Linked DNA regions of Bombyx mori. The protein of the gene in region 2 purifies or fractionates together with the protein of the main gene of each other region. This does not show direct contact. Links are inferred from orthologs where the notes say so. Each region holds a gene or a part of one and is shown on either strand. Other genes may lie near its edges. The genes, in order: H/ACA ribonucleoprotein complex subunit 3 and H/ACA ribonucleoprotein complex non-core subunit NAF1.

Region 1 (9,411 bases), on a different chromosome or scaffold from region 2:
TACAGTTTAATTAAAAAAATTAAAAAATAAATAAATAAAATAATGTGCATTCGCGTAAAGTTAGACCAAATACATTTTTTCCATCCTCCTATATACCTATCGCTATGAAGGTATAAAAAAGATAGGTTAAGAGTTCACATAGGTAATATAAACAAATAAGTAAATATGTTCATTATTTATCTTTCAAGAGATAATGTAGGTATACATTATAATAACATTTTGACACAGTCGAAATTATATTCCTAACATTAGTAATATAACATTTTAATATTTTTTTTATAGGTTATGTATTGAAATTGTTGGAAAATTATTTCATGTTTTAGCTGGAAAACTACATGGAGAATTATATGCAATACAAGATAATGAGCTCCATTAAATGAATTCGAATGAAACCAAACTGTTTACCATCCAAATTCGATTGTCGGGCAGATAGAAAACGAAAATTCACTCATAGTGAACCTCGGCCTGCATTTGTGAAACGGCAAAGACTCACTATTATCAAGGAAATTGAAGAGACGACTAAAAATGAGATGTGTCGTATTATTATACCTTTGCCATCTTGTAGTCAAGGTAGGTGTAACTGTCAATAATTAGTTACACTCACAGATCTCCTAATCAAATAACAATATCAGAAAAAATGAGAATAGTTAGTTAGTTAGTGGAAGTAGCCAAAATGGGCAAGTGGATCTCAGTTCCTATTACATAAGGTACTAGGAAGTTTGTGAAAATGAAAATTTATCACAGTGTAATATCACTTACTTACTTTAACAGTGAAGGAAAACATTGTGATGAAACCTGCATACCTAAATGTTCTTAGGATTTTCTTAGGTGTGTAATCCACCAACCAGCACTAGGCCAGCGTGGTGGACTAAGGCCTAAAAACCCTCTCAATGGTAGTGAAGGCCAGTGTCCAGCAAGGGGATATATTATATGGGCTGATGATGATGAAGTTAGGAAGTTAAATACTACTACTACTACTACGACAGTACACATATAATCCTATATATTTACAAACTATACGTTTGTTGGAAATTGCTAACATTATTTCATATTTCCAGATGTCCAGCCACTTGAAAATAGGTGTAGTAATGACAAAGCTATCCAAGTAGCTCCAGCACAGTAACACAAAGGCAAGGCAAGTGTGTATTGCCACATCACCCCTTAATATATCTGAAGCAAGTATAAGTAAACAATCAGAACCAGCAAAAAAAAAACTGTTGTTCCTGAGGACAAATTTGACAGTGACGAGTCAAATGCACCAGCAACAGAAGGATCAACTGTTGACTATGGGTTATAGAAGAAGAAGATGAATTCATATTTATTTAAATTAATATTAATGAATATTAATTTAAATTATCGTGCAAAATTCGTGGTCAAAACATATGTGTATTTTATAAATAAATATTCATTCTCAGCAAAAGAAGGATCAACTGTTGACTATGAGTTATCTCTCTATATCTCCACTCCATCAAAGACTTGTGCACTTCAGACTATAGCTCTCAAGAAGACTAAAAAGTTGAAAAAATGAATGTGTTAACAACTTTATCTAAAGTGAAAAATAAACAACGTTTATATATTGGTCTTCCACAAGAATTATGTTTCATAATAGGCTTGATTGAGAAACATACAAATGTTTCTGAACAAAATATTATATTATGTCTGATGAGAATAACATTAAATAGAACATTCTCTCAATTGGCTGATGATTTCGATTTATCTGTAAGTCAAGCAAGCAATATATATATATATAATATATTTTTCAACAAACTCCCAGAAATTGCAAATGTAATATCACCCCTTGTTAGACTATAAAAAAAACAATACAATAATTATATATGCAGGAAGGATAATTGATGTCAACTTGGTGGAAAATAGAAAGTTTTTAGATAGTTTGCCACCTACAAAACTCTTTAATTAAATAATAAAGTAATCCTTACTTATAAATAGGAAGTTTTGTAAGTATTTTCACTCTTCATTCAAAAACTACTGAACAGATTTTAATAAGACTTTTATGCTGGTCTTCTATGGCTAGCAACTCATTATTATTTTGATTCTGTTTTCCACAAATGTGCTAAATATGGGCTTATATATATGAAAAGGAATAAAAATTAATGTTATGTAACCTTTGTACCTGTATGTTAAGAATAATTTTTAATAAAACATAATTTAAATTGAAATATTATTTTTATTAAATGACATTCACTTTGTACACATCAATATTTTGTACTCCCTAAAAGGAAAATAGGTATAAAGTTTTTTTTAAATATTTAACATTACATTTTTGTGTAAGATTAGAAAATTGTTATTCTTCCAAAAAGAAACTACATTATCTAACAACTGTGCAACTTACTCAGAATCAAAATCAATACCTACTAATTATAGTGACCTGATTAGTTTTTTCAAAGTTGCTGGATGCTACACAAAAGTAGCAAGTTTTACTTTTAGCACAATACATATGCATTTGAACTTGTGCATAATATCTTTCTTTAATTTTTTTTTGCCTTTTTATTTATGGAAACATAGCATTACTCACTTGCTTGTTTGTAGATCTATCAAAAAAACATAATTTATGTTTTTTTTTTAACACAGTGGGCAATACCCTATTATTCATATTAATTATATACGGCGGGGCGATGCGAAAATTCATTACTGAATTATTTAAGAATGATAGGCATAATATAATATTTTAATTCGCGATCTGTTTATTTTTAATTTTGTGATTTATGGGGTGGTCACAGTCATTATTATAAAAATAGACATTTTGAGGAAATATAAATGTTTAATACAAATTATTTTGATAATCGAAATAAATTCATATCAATCCAAATTCATATTTGAACTATGAAAATTGTATGGTATGTAAACAGAAATATATTTTATAATTATAATGACTATTTATTCCATGCAGTATCGGTTACAGAAGCTTGCACAGCTTCTCTAACCGACACTGCAACTAGAATAAAGTCTAATAAAGAATAAGAATAAACTTTTCTTCGAAGCTCAATTCTACAAGGGTATTCAATCAGATAGCTATCTATCTGTCGTTCCTGTATGAAACTTTGGTATGTCGAAATCTTGGATAAATCCAGCAAAGCTAAATAAAGTATTTACCTAAAAAATATGTTTATGCTTAAAGTCACGTGTTTATGTTATTCGAAAGTATTAAGCTCCAAGCAGCATTTAGCTCCAACTAAATTCATTAAGAACCAATTTTTCAATCGATGATTAAAACAACATTAATACTGAGAATGAATATTTATTTATAAAATACACATATGTTTTGACCACGAATTTTGCACGATAATTTAAATTAATATTCATTAATATTAATTTAAATAAATATGAATTCATCTTCTTCTTCTATAACCCATAGTCAACAGTTGATCCTTCTGTTGCTGGTGCATTTGACTCATCACTGTCAAATTTGTCCTCAGGAACAACAGTTTTTTTTTTTGCTGGTTCTGATTGTTTACTTATACTTGCTTCAGATATATTAAGGGGTGATGTGGCAATACACACTTGCCTTGCCTTTGTGTTCCTGTGCTGGAGCTACTTGGATAGCTTTGTCATTACTACACCTATTTTCAAGTGGCTGGACATCTGGAAATATGAAATAATGTTAGCAATTTCCAACAAACGTATAGTTTGTAAATATATAGGATTATATGTGTACTGTCGTAGTAGTAGTAGTAGTATTTAACTTCCTAGTCATCATCATCAGCCCATATAATATATCCCCTTGCTGGACACTGGCCTTCACTACCATTGAGAGGGTTTTTAGGCCTTAGTCCACCACGCTGGCCTAGTGCTGGTTGGTGGATTACACACCTAAGAAAATCCTAAGAACATTTAGGTGTGCAGGTTTCATCACAATGTTTTCCTTCACTGTTAAAGTAAGTAAGTGATATTACACTGTGATAAATTTTCATTTTCACAAACTTCCTAGTACCTTATGTAATAGGAACTGAGATCCACTTGCCCATTTTGGCTACTTCCACTAACTAACTAACTATTCTCATTTTTTCTGATATTGTTATTTGATTAGGAGATCTGTGAGTGTAACTAATTATTGACAGTTACACCTACCTTGACTACAAGATGGCAAAGGTATAATAATACGACACATCTCATTTTTAGTCGTCTCTTCAATTTCCTTGATAATAGTGAGTCTTTGCCGTTTCACAAATGCAGGCCGAGGTTCACTATGAGTGAATTTTCGTTTTCTATCTGCCCGACAATCGAATTTGGATGGTAAACAGTTTGGTTTCATTCGAATTCATTTAATGGAGCTCATTATCTTGTATTGCATATAATTCTCCATGTAGTTTTCCAGCTAAAACATGAAATAATTTTCCAACAATTTCAATACATAACCTATAAAAAAAATATTAAAATGTTATATTACTAATGTTAGGAATATAATTTCGACTGTGTCAAAATGTTATTATAATGTATACCTACATTATCTCTTGAAAGATAAATAATAAACATATTTACTTATTTGTTTATATTACCTATGTGAACTCTTAACCTATCTTTTTTATATCTTCATAGCGATAGGTATATAGGAGGATGGAAAAAATGTATTTGGTCTAACTTTACGCGAATGCACATTATTTTATTTATTTATTTTTTAATTTTTTTAATTAAACTGTATACCAATTAATCGATCCTTCAGGATTTATAATTGTTTTTTTTTTCACGATTAAAACCGCGTAGAAAGTTTAGGCATTATAGTTGACGCATGCGCCATAGATTATACACTTATGGCATGCGCAGTACACATATTTTGTATACATTTATTCAACTAATACAATTAATTAAACAAAAAATGAGTAATTTCGAAAGAGAACAAACGTATTTTATATAAGAACAATCGAAAATGAATATTTACGAGTAATTAAGGACGAAAAAATTTTAAAAATTGCAATCGAGGGGCTAACTTTTAGATATATTTTTAATATATTTTTTAAAATAAATAAATGGGGAACAAACAATTATTAACAATGAACAATCAAGAACAAATGATGAACAAACGAATTAATAGAAAATAAGTAGAAAACAGGAAAAAAAATTTTTTTTGAGGGGCTAACTTCATTCACCCTGATTTTATGGTAAATTATGGTCAATTGTCCTACTCTGTGGTTTAAACATAGATTATACATTTGTCATTTATATAAACTCAAAGACACAAAAACATAGATTCCACCGGTCACCGTTCTCGTCGAACCCGTCGCTTGCGACGAAGGGCTCGACGAGTAAATTAACTCTCAGACACAGCCCACTGAGTTTCTCGCCGGATCTTCTCAGTGGGTCGCGTTTCCGATCCGGTGGTAGATTCTGCGAAGCACGACTCTTGCTAGGGTTCGTGTTAGCAACATCGTCAGGTTTGAGCCCCGTGAGCTCACCTACTAAAGTTAAGGCTACGCTGAAATAGCCGCTAGGGCTATCAGCTTAGGTAGGGAAAAAAAAAAAAAAAAAAAACATAGATTATACACTTAATATATTTGAGACACAAAAACACTGAACAGTAAACACGAGGAATTACTGGATTACCACATACAAATAAAATAGCGCTAAATTAGTTGTAGTTTTTGTTATTTGCATTTTTAATAACATTAAAATGTATCTCAGGTATTACTTAAACGATAAAGGCGATAGAGAGTACACATTAGCGGTAAGTATTGTACTGTAACCTCGTCAACATGTGTTTAATTATTCTATCAATAATCTTTTTACTTTCTCAGACCATCGACCCATTTGGAAAACCAACATTGTCAGCACATCCAGGTAAATAACATCATCAAGTATGGTTTATTAGTGATTAATCGTTGTTTTCAAAAGTTAGAAGGTTATGTATGTTTTCCTAATAGGTAATGCATAACAGTGTTTTATAGTGGAAATAAGCTGTAAATGCTTGAGATATATTTAATCTAGTTAATATAGAAGACTAAGACAATAATATGGTTTATGAACTAAAAACAATTTGCTTCAATTATCTTTTATCCTGTACTGGTATTTATTAGGCCAAAGTAATAAAATTATTGACTGCTTTTAATATAATGTCATTTTTGTCAACCATCGAAACTGATTGTTTACGTTGGATAACAACCACCTTGACAAGCCTTGAAAGGTTTTCGGCCAAAAATCATCCTCTTATCCTAAAAAATCATGTTAGACGTTATCCCTGAATCTCACAATCTTATCATGTATTAATTATTGAAGATGGTGAAAATTACAATTGGAGATTCCATCTGATATATGCTAATGAAATCAAATTTAAAAAAAAGCAAAAAACAATCTCACATCTACAAAATAACAGGCTAATTTACTTCAATAATCCAATTGTTTTTATTGCAGCTCGTTTTTCTCCTGAAGACAAATACTCAAGACACAGAATAATAATCAAGAAGAGATTTGGCCTGCTGCTTACACAACAACCTGAACCTATTCATTAAAATAAATATTGATTTGTATTGAAAATTACCAAAATGGTCTAAATTTTGATACATTTTAACAATTCTTTTCAAAATCTAAGGCACACAGGATTTAGCATACAACAGAACACAAATGGTCTTACAAAATATATTACTTTATTATGACTTGCTCTTCCTTTTTCTAATGATTTTCATCTGATTGTGGTAATCCTAGGCTACCCCACTGGTACATAGGGCCCTTACAAGTTTTCTCCATTTGACCTTGCTCCTTGACATCATTCCAAGTCATGGTGGCAGTACTCATCTCACTCTCCACAGTGTGTCGAGAAGTATGTAAAGGATAACCAGGCTATAAATTTAATATAATTTATTTTTTATTACAATATCTCTTCTTATGATTATGTAAAATGAATGCAGTTTCAAAATATATGTTGTAATATAGTCGTAATGTTATGTGTGCTTTTATTATTTATAGCTACTATAAAGCAAGTCTTGATAGTTCCGTATATACACCAATTTCCTTCATGGACAATCGAGCCATGACTGATAAATGGGCTCTAACCTGGAGAGTATTAGCATGTGTTACAGTATCTGCCTCAGATAAAAATGGCCATGGCTGTGCCAGGAAATTTTATACAGTGAATATACTCAATCTGAAAAAATATATCTTGGTTACTAAAAAGTGATTATGTAGGCAGTATTTCTGAAGTTTATCTCTAGCTAAACATCCAGTAAACCATCTGCTAAATATGTTCACAAGAACACAGCAATGTGCCACAACTCCCTTTAGTATTTGGACAAGTTGAATAAAGTGTAGTGTCTAATAATGGCATTACAATTAATTTTAGTAGATTTCCTTGATGATAGAGTTTGACTTCTGAGGCTATCCACGGATTTAGTTACCCTTTGATGTGTGCATTTTTTATATGATTGAAGGATTACTGGTGCCCTGTAGGCCTTTCCAGTTTCACCAGGGCAGGGCATATGAGAACTGCTAGTCAGTCAGACCTTCAAAGAGATACCTAATAATCAGATGACATAACATCTGGAGTATATGGCGGGTAGGGTATGGCATCTCATCTGAATGTTTTCAAGTATTTTAACGGTTTTCGCAAGGTATGCCCGAGCATCATTGTCTTGCAAGAGAATCACTTTATCGTGCCTCGGGTCGTATTGTGTAGACATGTGTAAGTAATGCGAGTGATATTACTCGGGTAATATTACTCTACGATGTAATGCAACATCACACATTACGCGAAGGAAACAAACATCACACTATCACCCAACATGTTTCTTTCTTTGTCGTGTAATGTTGCTTAATACATGAACGGAACAGAGCGAGCGAGACAGACCGATAGACGCAAAATAAATGAGCAAGCGACACGGAATTATTCCTAGTGATTTTGAACCGTATGTCCTGGCCGCTAGGTACATTTTTATACCTATGGTACGTCTGAATTTTAATATAGGTATTTGTGTTTATATTTTTCATGCGCCCAGCCGGTAGTTCCCCGCAAGTACTTACTTAATTTTTTATTCGCAACTTTTGTAAAATCGCTAGTCGCTCGTAATTGTTTAGTAATATTTCATAATAATTTTTGTGTTTGATTTGAATTACTTAAGCACTTGTTTGAAGATAGTTTAATTATTTGTTTTAATGCGTGTTTAATAAGTGAAAGAAAGAATGGCGTCTAAATGAAAGTACAGTCCTCCTTGGATGCACTTTGAGGATATCGCGCCGAAACAATGCATCTACTGCTCTCGTATATTAACATTATTGTCGAGCTCAATTTGCAGTCTAAGTCGCCATATGAAATCCGTTCATCCCACAATAAATTATATTAAGTAAAAAATAAAATTATTATATTATTAAGTAAGTCAATCTCTGTCAAGTAATATAACAGTGTATTACAATGCAAAGTTCATACTTTGTATTGTAATACACTACTGTAATGACACACCCGAATCATTACCTAAGTGATGTGTATCAACACATCACTTAGGTAATGATTCGGGTGTATAGATACAATGCATTCGTCGTCACAGTATCTATTGAACGCACCGAGTAATGTTAAGAGTGATGTGTAATATTTTCGAGTAATATCACCTGTCTGTAAAAGTGATGTCATATCACATTACATTGGGAAGTGATGTTTTGCGCAAGTCTAGTATTGTGGCCGTTTTTATAATGTTTCAGATCAAAATCGATGAACCATCTATTGACAATCAGAGAGAACTTAGTTGCGTTTCTAACATGGGTAGTCTATTTTGTGTTCACGAAATCGATTATATTAATATATGATACGATTGTGAGATTCAGGTCTAACATGTTTTTTGCGTCTAAACTATACACGCGAGCAAAAGTTTGGAATCACTTACTTGAAATTGGTTCCGTGCGATCTTGCTTACTAAATAAATTTGTAATTATTATAAAAGTCACATCATTTTAAAGGTTCAACTGTCAACTTTAAATTGATACCAAATTCATTCAAATCGAGCCAGTAGTTAAGGAGCTATTTCGGATTAAGTGAAGGAGGTAGGAAACAAAGGAAATATGGAAAAATAATGAATGAGTAGAACAACAAAAATAAATAAATAAAATTTTTATTTAGCCTTAAAATTAAATGTCAGTACTTTGTGTAAGGTTTATGATTATTTATATTAATATGATTATATAGAGTGTAAGGTTTCTGATTATTTATATGATTATATAGAGTCCTGTACATATTAAGAATTATTATTAAATATGAGGTTTATATTGCAAACCATTAAAATATTGTTAAGTTATAAATTCAACAGTTGACAAATGTCGTCAATAGATGTCACAGGCTAACAAAATTACATCGCGGTAGCGTTGTGTGTAAAAATTTGTATAAGAAGTCCAAAGTAATTATGAATAAATCAAGAACCAAACGCATCAATGTAAAATTGGCAGATTAAAGCAAAGTGTGAACAAAGTTAGCCTGTTTAATTT
Region 2 (10,117 bases):
CCCAATTTAAGATATGTATAAAATATTAGACATTTCTTAGTAGGTTGAGCTATGCCATAATTTAAAAAATCAAATAAAAATTCATATAATTAATTACAGTCTAAATATTGTTTGAACAATGTCTACTCCACAAAACAGCACACGAGTACATTTCATATTTTAACGTTTAGTTGTAGTGTCCAAGGTTTTTATATTCCTGTATTGTGAAATGACTGTCATTTTACGTTGTGATCATGTGAGTGCAAAATTTTTTATTTAAAAAAAAAACCAGTTTCGATGACACTTCGTCGACATTAGGGCAGCAGATATATTTAACATACAATATGTTTTTGTTCTGCACAGTCCGAGAGCAGTATTTTTTAGATTTAATCTTTTATAATTATAAACTTTTTATTTTTAACGTTTATCGAAATTCGAACGTTAGTTTCTAACAATGAAATATTTAATAAAGAAAATCACAAAAGTAAGTTTTTATTTTTTTATTTTTCTGAACACATTAATTATTGTTTACTTACACATATGACAATATCAAGGTGAGATTGCAAAATATCTTAGGAATAATATTTAAATTTTAATCTAATAACTAAATTAGGTAATTTTCGGTCAGTGGTCATCGTAGCTCATGAACATCAGCAATAACAAGAATACAGTAAAGCCCTTGAGAACTCTCCTCCTGGCCAAGCCCTAGAGAAACACCATCATTCCAAAAGCCAGATGGAGCATGGCAAATACTATCTCTGGAAACTTCTTGTAGATCAACGCAGCGGTTCGAACTGGTATTGATGAACCCATCTCTGGCGGCGGGAGCGATAAAACAAGGAAGATATTATATCATCTCAAACAATTCCTCAGAGCACTTTCCATAGAACATACGAGAACTGAAGTACCCGAACGATTGAGAAGGGGACTATCAACAGTCCAGTAGAATCCAATAGAAGTAGGTAGCTGGTATTAATTTCGAGCGTGGACTGTATTTAGTGCTAGCTTCAATAAAAACTTGATTCAGAGCGAAGGATTTTTAATTCTCTTAATGTACATACCGGGACGTCTTAAACTAGGATGGGGCCCTTGGGCACACAAGAATTTGAGGCCCTTTTGGAAAGTAAAAAAAGCGAATTATAATAACATTTTTTTACTGAGTATGACCATTTATTATAGGTAATCAAATAGAATATAATATGTCATTAATGATATTAGAATGCTGCTGGTTTTTTGGTTACGATTTCGATAACGGTTTCTTTCGGGATTTCTGCTGAGCAAAATCTTGTATTATAGGCATAGTATATGCCTTGTGATTACTGATTTATGAAAAAAGTGTAATGTGCCCGACAAAAATGTTTTGAGAATAAACGTGTGAGAGAAATTGTCGGTCTTTCGGGGCCCCCTGAGAATGAGGGCTCTGGATAAGGGCCACGTGTACCCTTATGGTAAAGACGGTATTGTATACATAGAATAAAGAACCGTGCAATTACGACCAGAATTTTTTGTGCAACTGCAACGACTTGTGTTGCCATACTGAAAACAATGATATATAAAGTGTCAAGTTTAGGATTGCCCTAAACTAGGCTCAAGAGCGATCTGTGGTATCCTTCACTTGCTAAAGATATACCTGCCACAGTATTCAGTTTTCGGTTTTCGGTTTTCTTACTGTGTACCAGTGTATATTTTGAGAGTTTGCGTTACTTTACCTTAATTATGCTATTTAGTTAAAACTGCAATTTCAACACAGATCACTAATAGTCCACTAATCCTATTAACTGTCTTAAAAAGTTTTAACATATTTTTGCATCGTTTTGTACGCCCAAGCGTTTGAAAACTCTTCCAAGGATCGACTTAATTTTTAACAGAATAAAAGCAAATAAAACCGATGGCTGAATGAGGTATCATATTTATTATAGTATAAATATAATTTTTGGATAACCACACGTTCAGTATTGTTAAACAATAACTGCGATAACCGTAGTAAACTAATTGTAATCAACATGTGTAACTTTGACCTCGCAGGGAACGTTGGCCGCTCGACCTCGGATATACAGTACGCGCATTTATTTATCCAACAGAATATTCCTACTGGAAAGCGTTTTCAAATTTCTCTGGAACAACCTCTCTCACGAAGAGGTCAAGGTTACCCAAATTGTGTATTGATAATTACAGAGATTAAAACCTAAATCGTTGTACGCGGCCGCATTAAGTTCCGGGTGGGGGAGGGGGGCGGGTGAGCCAGTGCGGACCCGGGGTGGACATGAACACCGGAGCGTTGGTGCGGAAGGGACTGTGCAGGCGCGGAGAGCTTCCGAACTGGAACAGGCTTGAGAACGGAGGGGGCGCTGCCGGGTTATAGGGGGGCGGGGTGTTCGGGTTGAAGGGAGGGATGAAAGCCGATCCGTCTGCAGAGAGAGGGGGAGGTCTGCCGTGGCGCCTGGACCCGAGCGCGAAAGGATTGCGACCTCTGCTCGGCCCGCTACCGAATCTGCTATTCCACTCCGAAGGCCTCTGGTTCCGTCTCTCGACCGGTTTCCGAACGTTCCGGGACGTTTCTCCGTCGTTCTGAGTGTTCTCGTCTTCTTTGTTTTTCGTCTTGCGAGCCCGCGCCGCCCTGCGCTCCTCTTCGTCGTCGGAGTAGTCGATGTGACTAGGCGGCGGCTCGATGTCGTTCAGCCAAGAAGCGTCACAGCCTCTCACTCTGGAAGGAAGAAGAAAGAAAAATAAATTTGATATAATGATCTCCGATTACTAATGTTACACTTCGATAAAGCCGGTAACTACATTCCCGATCCTGCGGACATAATGGAAAGCAGTCGACGTCGCCCCAAACACGTCATTTCGGATCCTCCCGATCCACTAACGGTGCTTTCGGTACCACAAGCAGCGGTCATCGTTCTCGTCGAACCCGTCGCTTGCGACGAAGGGCTCGACGAGTAAATTAACCCTCAGACACAGCCCACTGAGTTTCTCGCCGGATCTTTTCAGTGGATCGATCGCGTTTCCGATCCGGTGGTAGATTCTGCGAAGCACGGCTATTGCTAGGGTTCGTGTTAGCAACGTCGTCAGGTTTGAGCCCCGTGAGCTCACCTACTAGCTAAGGCTACGCTGATATAGCCTCTCAAGGCTATCAGCTTAAGTAGGAATAAAAAAAAACCTAATGTTATGATGGCACTAAAAATGGCAAAGTAGCACTAATGAAAGTTCAACGGACCCGGGGATCTGTGGTGTCGAGACAACGGGAGGGCCTTATGCTAGTTGACTTTACTGTGTGTCAGAAATACACTATTTATGAAAACTAATTAATGTGTTATGTTCTTTTAAGGTAACAGTTAATTTGGTTTCGTAGTTGGTTTGACGATAATTAATAAATAAAAAACCCTGCAAACAAGTTTCAAATACAAACTCACTTCATCAGTTCTGATATAAATACGTAATTAGTGTGTTGGCTTTTTGGCGCGATGAATACTTCCATCCCGGTTTGTACGCCTCGTTCTTTGACGTGATCGAGTGAGTTGAACCGGACGCAATAGTGCGGCTCCGTTATCTGAAAATTAACAAAAAAAAAAACATACTAAACATATTTTTTTTTGCTTAGATAGGTGGACGAGCTCACAGCCCACCTGGTGTTAAGTGGTTACTGGAATCCACAGATAGACATCTACCACGTAAATGCGCCACCCGCCTTGAGATATAAGTTCTAAGGTCTCAGTATAGTTACAACGGCTGCCCCACCCTTCAAACAGAAAAGCATTACTGCTTCATGGCAGAAATAGGCAGGGTGGTGGTACCTACCCGCGCGGACTCCCAAGAGGTCCTACCACCAGTAATTTTAAAACATTGATATAATCACACAGGCAAAGAATACGGTATAGGATATTTAAATTAGTAAGCCGCCAGTCACATTTATATAACAGTATATATATATTTACCATAAACAAAAAAAAAATAGGACAGTTCAAATCTTTCACCACTGTATTATTCCAAATAATAAAAATGTAGACAAATTTCCATAAGCTATGTATTAATTCCTTTTTAATAACATTTTAATGCGTTTTCAGAGCCAAATGATATTGGATGTGAAATATACATAGGGTCACTGAAGTATTTTTGGATTATGGCCAAATAGTGTATTGCAGATATAATTTAGAAGATATAACCTTAATTGTATGCCAAATAAACATTTAATAAAATTTTCATTACAATTATGTTTATTATACCTATGAAGTTTGCACTGGACACTACATTTATTCTATTTTACATAGATTTAAACTACAGAAAAGCCTCATATGTGTTTTAAAATTATGGGGTTACTAGACCTAAAATCAAATTTCATACTTTATACAACATAGTAATTAAAAATAAAAACTAACTAACATAGTAACTAAAAAAACTAGGTGCTACCCTCACCGTCGTCTGCATGCTTAAGGAGCAAGTATAGTTTCTCAGGGGAATGAGATATTTTGTTGGGTTAAAAGGTAGGCTATGTCACTTTATTCTATCTATCTCTAATATTATCACTTTGAATTATATATCGGTGTGTTGCTTCATTACGAAATGAAAGATAGACAAAAAACACCCCCTCACATTTGTATTAAGTAATAATATTAAGTATGGATACTCACAGGTCCAAATACATCAAAAACTTTGCCAAGTGCCTTTGCTCCGTTTTCCACAAAAAGTACGCTCTCTATGTCCACTGCAGGTGTCTCCGGAAATGCTTGAACTATAACTGATACAACAAACAATTTTATAATATTGTTTTTTCTTTTGCACACCCTGTCTGGGAGTAGTTTAATAAGTATTAATGAAACTCTTAGATGCCATGATATGAGTAGAAACATTTTATATCTTTATAAATGCGTTTTCATTTTGCAAGAATTATAAAAATGTGTATATTATTATTATTGTTGCTTTTTTTAAGTTAATTTATAGTGAGGAAACACTCCATCTTCACTACTCACTCATTGTTAAAATAAATTCCTCATTTGTAATTAATTCCAATAATTAGATAGTGTTAAGAAAATAATAATTAAAATAATGATTAATAGCATTTATTAATATTCAACTTCACTGATTAATAATTATTACAACAATCAGTAGTGAATCACTAAAATGAACATTTATGAAAAATAAACACTTAAAGGGACCTTTACTGTTGAGTCTCATGTTTTTTATTGTCATTGTAGCATTTTTGTAGCTAGCACAATATTCAAATGCCGACAAATAATGATCTCAAAATCTGATCCACGATCCCAAAAACTGCCAAGTTTTCCGAAGCATCAGAATGAGCATCCACACAAATAATAAAAAAAAAAAGACTAAACTATAAAATGTAACTGCTAACACTGTAAACAGTAAATGCTAATTAAATATTTGCACCATTACACTATCACTTTTCAGTATCATAGTATATATTGTACATAATAGTCACCATTAGTAGCGAAACGGTTAATGATACATTCAAAGCCTAGGTATATAACCATGTCCTTCAAGCTTCAAAAGCTCCAAAATATTATAAATACTTGACTAGACCATGCACAACTACATTTTACTTTTATTTTTCAATCATATAATGTACTTGTAGTTAAGCTGTTAGCATTGAATCCATGTTGTTTTTAGTCATTTTTATTAAATTAATGCCTATTTTGTTATCTACCATCTTGGGACAAATTACAATATAATCTATTTATTTATTTTATTCTTCATAGGACTGATACACAAAAAATTATTATTGTGGATACTATTCATTGTGATAAAACAATGAATTCTAAATGATATAACATTTGATTTAATGATTTTAAATTATAAGTTATTAAACTCACCTAATCTATCAACTATGCTGGCAATTTTTCCTATTTTGGTGCATTCCTGGGCAGGTAAGCTGATGGCAAGGTCCTCGATGGGTGGGAGGTCATCCAGTCCTAATTCACCGTTTACTTTTGGTGCTTCTGGCTTATTATTTCTAACTTCAAACTCATCTCTAAAATCATATAAGTTACAAGGTATGTTTCTTTATTGTTGCAAAAATAATAACAAAGAGCTCTGTTTTGACTATTTTGAGTAATTATATTATTTTTAAATAAAAAAAATGGCAATGAATCTCTCAAAAAATCTCATTATTTAGTTTTGGAATATTCAAACAAATCATTTCATGCTTGGCCTTGAAAAAAATACTGTTTTTTTTTTATAACAATTTACTTTCCCATCTTTGTTCATGAGAGTTTGATATATTTTGGTCTTATGTAATACCAGCAAACTAAAAGTAAACACTTAAAAGGCTTATTAAACGTATTTACCCGCTAGACGCATCAGCATCCTTCACAGAATCCACTTCACTATCACTGGAGTCACTGGAAGAGCTTGTATTTGAATCACTGTCCGCGTCTCTATATTCGGTAACTTCGTACTCCATTATACCGCGTTCTGAACTGTCTATTATCATGTGTCTGGTCACCTGTTCATCGCAAGGATCTGTTCTCGACAGAGGTCCGTGAGCACACGCGTTTATTATGTTGTTCTTTAACACCATTTCGCTCAACTCAGGAGCGTCCGAGTCGTTACCCGTATTGTTTGACCGTGTCTCTGTATCGTCAGAATCAGAGTCCGAACCTCCGTATTCGGCTATTAAGCTTAATGACACGTTTTTATTACTGCTTTTGTTGAGGTTCTCCATTGTTCCACTTCGCACTCCTGCACGCTTACAACTTAACGATATGATAGATGTATGTCAAATACTTTATTAGGAACTAGTTTAGCATTATTAAGAAAATTACGAACATACGCGCACTTCTATTTAGACACAAAATACATGTAATAAATCCAATATTTCTATGCAATCAAAAAGCGTGACAATATGATCGCAAAAAAATGAGGCAATTGACAATTTTATTGACAGTGTAAAATAGAGATGTAGTCATCATCTCAAATATTAAGTGTATAATCTATGGTAGTCATAGTAGAGATGGCCAACTTTTGCTTAATAGCGTCTTTGATCACCAAGTTCTCAACAAATTTTCGTACGTATGACATTGATCAACCTTTAAAAATGGTTATAGGTGTACAGTTATACGTTTTTCATGAAAAGGCAAGTGTTGTATTCATATACACATTAATCACTGTCACTGAAAGGACTAAAACCAAACATACAGTTGTCTTGTTCTACGAGAAATACTCGACGGGGGTTTATAAATGAAGTCCGATTTAAAGTCAATTTAGTCTAAGGTTGTTACCAAGTTCATCATTTCTTTCAATATTAAAACCGATCGAAAATAATAAACTGTTGATTTGGGATATGGATAGACTTGATATTGGGATATGATATGGAGCACTAGGACGAGTTTTTACCTCATCTCTATATGTTTTCCAGCGATTGATTTTTCTGATAACGCATTTAGCGCAAATTAACCTACGCACACATTAAAATTTTTTTTTTTTTTTTTTTTTCTATAATACCTTACATATAACATGAATTTTACAGAACGTTGAATCTTTTCAGTAAGTAATCTAGTAAGTACATGTGGTGAGAATGGTTCGTTGCTTCCCATATCTACACAATTCAAGTAAATTTTTTCGAATTCAATTTTTTTTTATAAAATTTGAAACTTTAAGTTTTACTTTAACTGATTACAATTTTTTATCATCCAATTTTTTAATCCACTTTGTTGTATATATGTTCTATAATTTAGAGTGGATTCGCTATTAAATCGATTTCAAATTAGTTATGGCAAGGTCAAAGCGCCAGAGAAATACCGTTGACATAAAAGTACCAAGGGAGTTTTTAAAAATGCAATACAGTATTTTATATTGAACTGTAGTTACGTTAAATATCGTTTATTTTATATAGTTTACTTAACATTTTAAATACATGCAATATGGATCTTTGTTTATTTAGTTAGTCTGAAGTTTTGGTCCGCTTCTTACGAGGCGGAGTAGGCAGCTTGTAGTGTACGGTGCGGATGTGTAGGTTTCTGCTGGTCGAATACTTGAACTTCTTGCAGCACATGGGACACTGGTATGCTGCCACATTCGAGTGCACCTGCAATAAGAATGTGGTGATCTGGCATAAATAGGCGTGTTTGCAGTTGCTGGAATAAGGAATAGGAATGCTGCGCCAGTGCGTATTTGTCGTAGGTGGGCTAGGGTGAGTAGAATACAGTAGGGTACAGTGGAGTAGCAACACGCACCTTGGCGTGGCGGTTGAGGTTGGTGCGCAGCGTGAAGGTCTGTCCGCAGTGCGTGCACACGAACGGACGCGCCCGCGTGTGCGTGTGTGCGTGCCGCGCCAGTGCGTACTTGTCGTAGGTGGGCTAGGGTGAGTAGAGTACATTAGGGTACAGTGGAGTAGCAACACGCACCTTGGCGTGGCGGTTGAGGTTGGTGCGCAGCGTGAAGGTCTGTCCGCAGTGCGTGCACACGAACGGACGCGCCCGCGTGTGCGTGTGTGCGTGCCGCGCCAGTGCGTACTTGTCGTAGGTGGGCTAGGGTGAGTAGAGTACAGTAGGGTACAGTGGAGTAGCAACACGCACCTTGGCGTGGCGGTTGAGGTTGGTGCGCAGCGTGAAGGTCTGTCCGCAGTGCGTGCACACGAACGGACGCGCCCGCGTGTGCGTGTGTGCGTGCCGCGCCAGTGCGTACTTGTCGTAAAACGCGCGCCCGCACTCGTCGCACCGCACCGACGGAGACGCGTGACGTAGCTCGTGGATACGTAACTTCGTTTTATTCTATTCCAATGAATAATCAGTTACGATTAATTATTTTATTTGGTTTTAATAGAAGCAGAAACACTATGCTATTTAAGTATCTATTTTTATATAATTAAAATTGCTTTTACGGTTTAATCTCACGTTTATTATTTGCGACGATGCGAATATTTTATAGTTTTCGTAGTCTCGGACAACTGGTGTAAATGACTACATTTGAATACTTATTATGAACTTAATTACCGTCTAAATCTTTTAAAAAAAGTGGGTGCGTACAAAGTACACATGTCAGAAGTGAAACTTTTTTGGCGAACTAATTTATAAGTCTTGCTTATATTTAAACAAATCTAAAACTTTAGATTTCCGAGACTTAGAGGAAGGGAAAAAGGAAGATATGTTCCCGCCAAAAGTCTGTCAAATGTCAATCTCAAACCTCAGTGTTGACAGTCCCATTATGTTTAGATTTCTAAATTGTAAATGACTAGTATTTTGCCAATTGAATTGACTAATTTAATTCATGCTATTTGATTAATGTTCCAAATTCTTTTCATTTCATTTCAATTCAAAAAAATTAAATTCATCAAAGAGTACGAATATACCTGGAATCCCTTACCGCAGACGTCACAGATGGCGGCGATGACGCGTCTATACGAGTCCTTCTCTTCCGGATGTTCCTTATACGTGTGCCACCAATGTTCCCGACGGCTACTTACCATTTTGTTGCACTGTAATAGTATCTTTACATTATAAGTGGATTAAAATATGTACATAAATATTTTATGTTATTACTTTATTGAAGAAATGTTATATTGATACTATATAACATTTCTATTTAACACTATATGACCTGTCTTAAGATTCGTTCTTCAACGCGCACTGTTTAGTGTATCTCCTCTTGGTTCCGCATGTGTAAAAGTCGAACCAAATATTTAGTGAGAAAGCGGAGGCTTTTTTGGCGGGAAAGCGAGGAGCGAAGTTATGTGGTTTGTTTTATTTTGTCTATTTAGTGTTTCTTCAGGCTTAAATGTGTAATAATGGTGGTTTATTAACTGTTTAGTATCTGTGAATTTAGCGAATTAGTTGTGGGAATTGAAATAAAGCCGATGGACGTAACTTCTCGGAATACTCCAGTCTCAGTAAATAAAATAAAAATCAATAAAAGTCTCAGTAAATAACCACCATTTTACTGAGATTATATTTCATCCTATCCCATGTCATCTCATCTCATTTCATTTAATTTCATGCCAATTGATTAATGTTTCAAATTAATCAACTTCATTCCATTTCACTCCACATTATCATTTTTCATAAAAAATAATATAAAAGATTAGGCTGTATGGTATCATTGCCTTTGTATTTGGAAAAACAAAACTACTACTACTGAAAAAGCCGACGTATAGTGTACTCGAGAAGACCGCGGACCAGTACCAATG

Evidence for each region.
Region 1: the proteins of H/ACA ribonucleoprotein complex non-core subunit NAF1 (region 2) and H/ACA ribonucleoprotein complex subunit 3 purify together in Homo sapiens (co-immunoprecipitation; 6 studies listed by BioGRID and IntAct, with this or other methods). This does not show direct contact. The link is inferred for Bombyx mori from reciprocal best matches to the Homo sapiens genes NAF1 and NOP10.

What each region holds. Positions count from the first base shown.
Region 1 is NC_085131.1:8,619,075-8,628,485, forward strand, and holds H/ACA ribonucleoprotein complex subunit 3, read left to right. Parts: upstream 1-5,490; 5' UTR 5,491-5,623; coding exon 5,624-5,677; intron 5,678-5,747; coding exon 5,748-5,790; intron 5,791-6,360; coding exon 6,361-6,458; 3' UTR 6,459-6,890; downstream 6,891-9,411. UniProt on the Homo sapiens protein: Required for ribosome biogenesis and telomere maintenance. Part of the H/ACA small nucleolar ribonucleoprotein (H/ACA snoRNP) complex, which catalyzes pseudouridylation of rRNA.
Region 2 is NC_085109.1:2,566,536-2,576,652, reverse strand, and holds H/ACA ribonucleoprotein complex non-core subunit NAF1, read right to left. Parts: upstream 6,924-10,117; 5' UTR 6,659-6,923; coding exon 6,282-6,658; intron 5,966-6,281; coding exon 5,808-5,965; intron 4,715-5,807; coding exon 4,608-4,714; intron 3,530-4,607; coding exon 3,393-3,529; intron 2,684-3,392; coding exon 2,188-2,683; 3' UTR 1,873-2,187; downstream 1-1,872. Other genes in the region: oocyte zinc finger protein XlCOF6, read right to left, coding at 7,877-8,020, 8,340-8,462, 8,511-8,705, 9,284-9,409. UniProt on the Homo sapiens protein: RNA-binding protein required for the maturation of box H/ACA snoRNPs complex and ribosome biogenesis.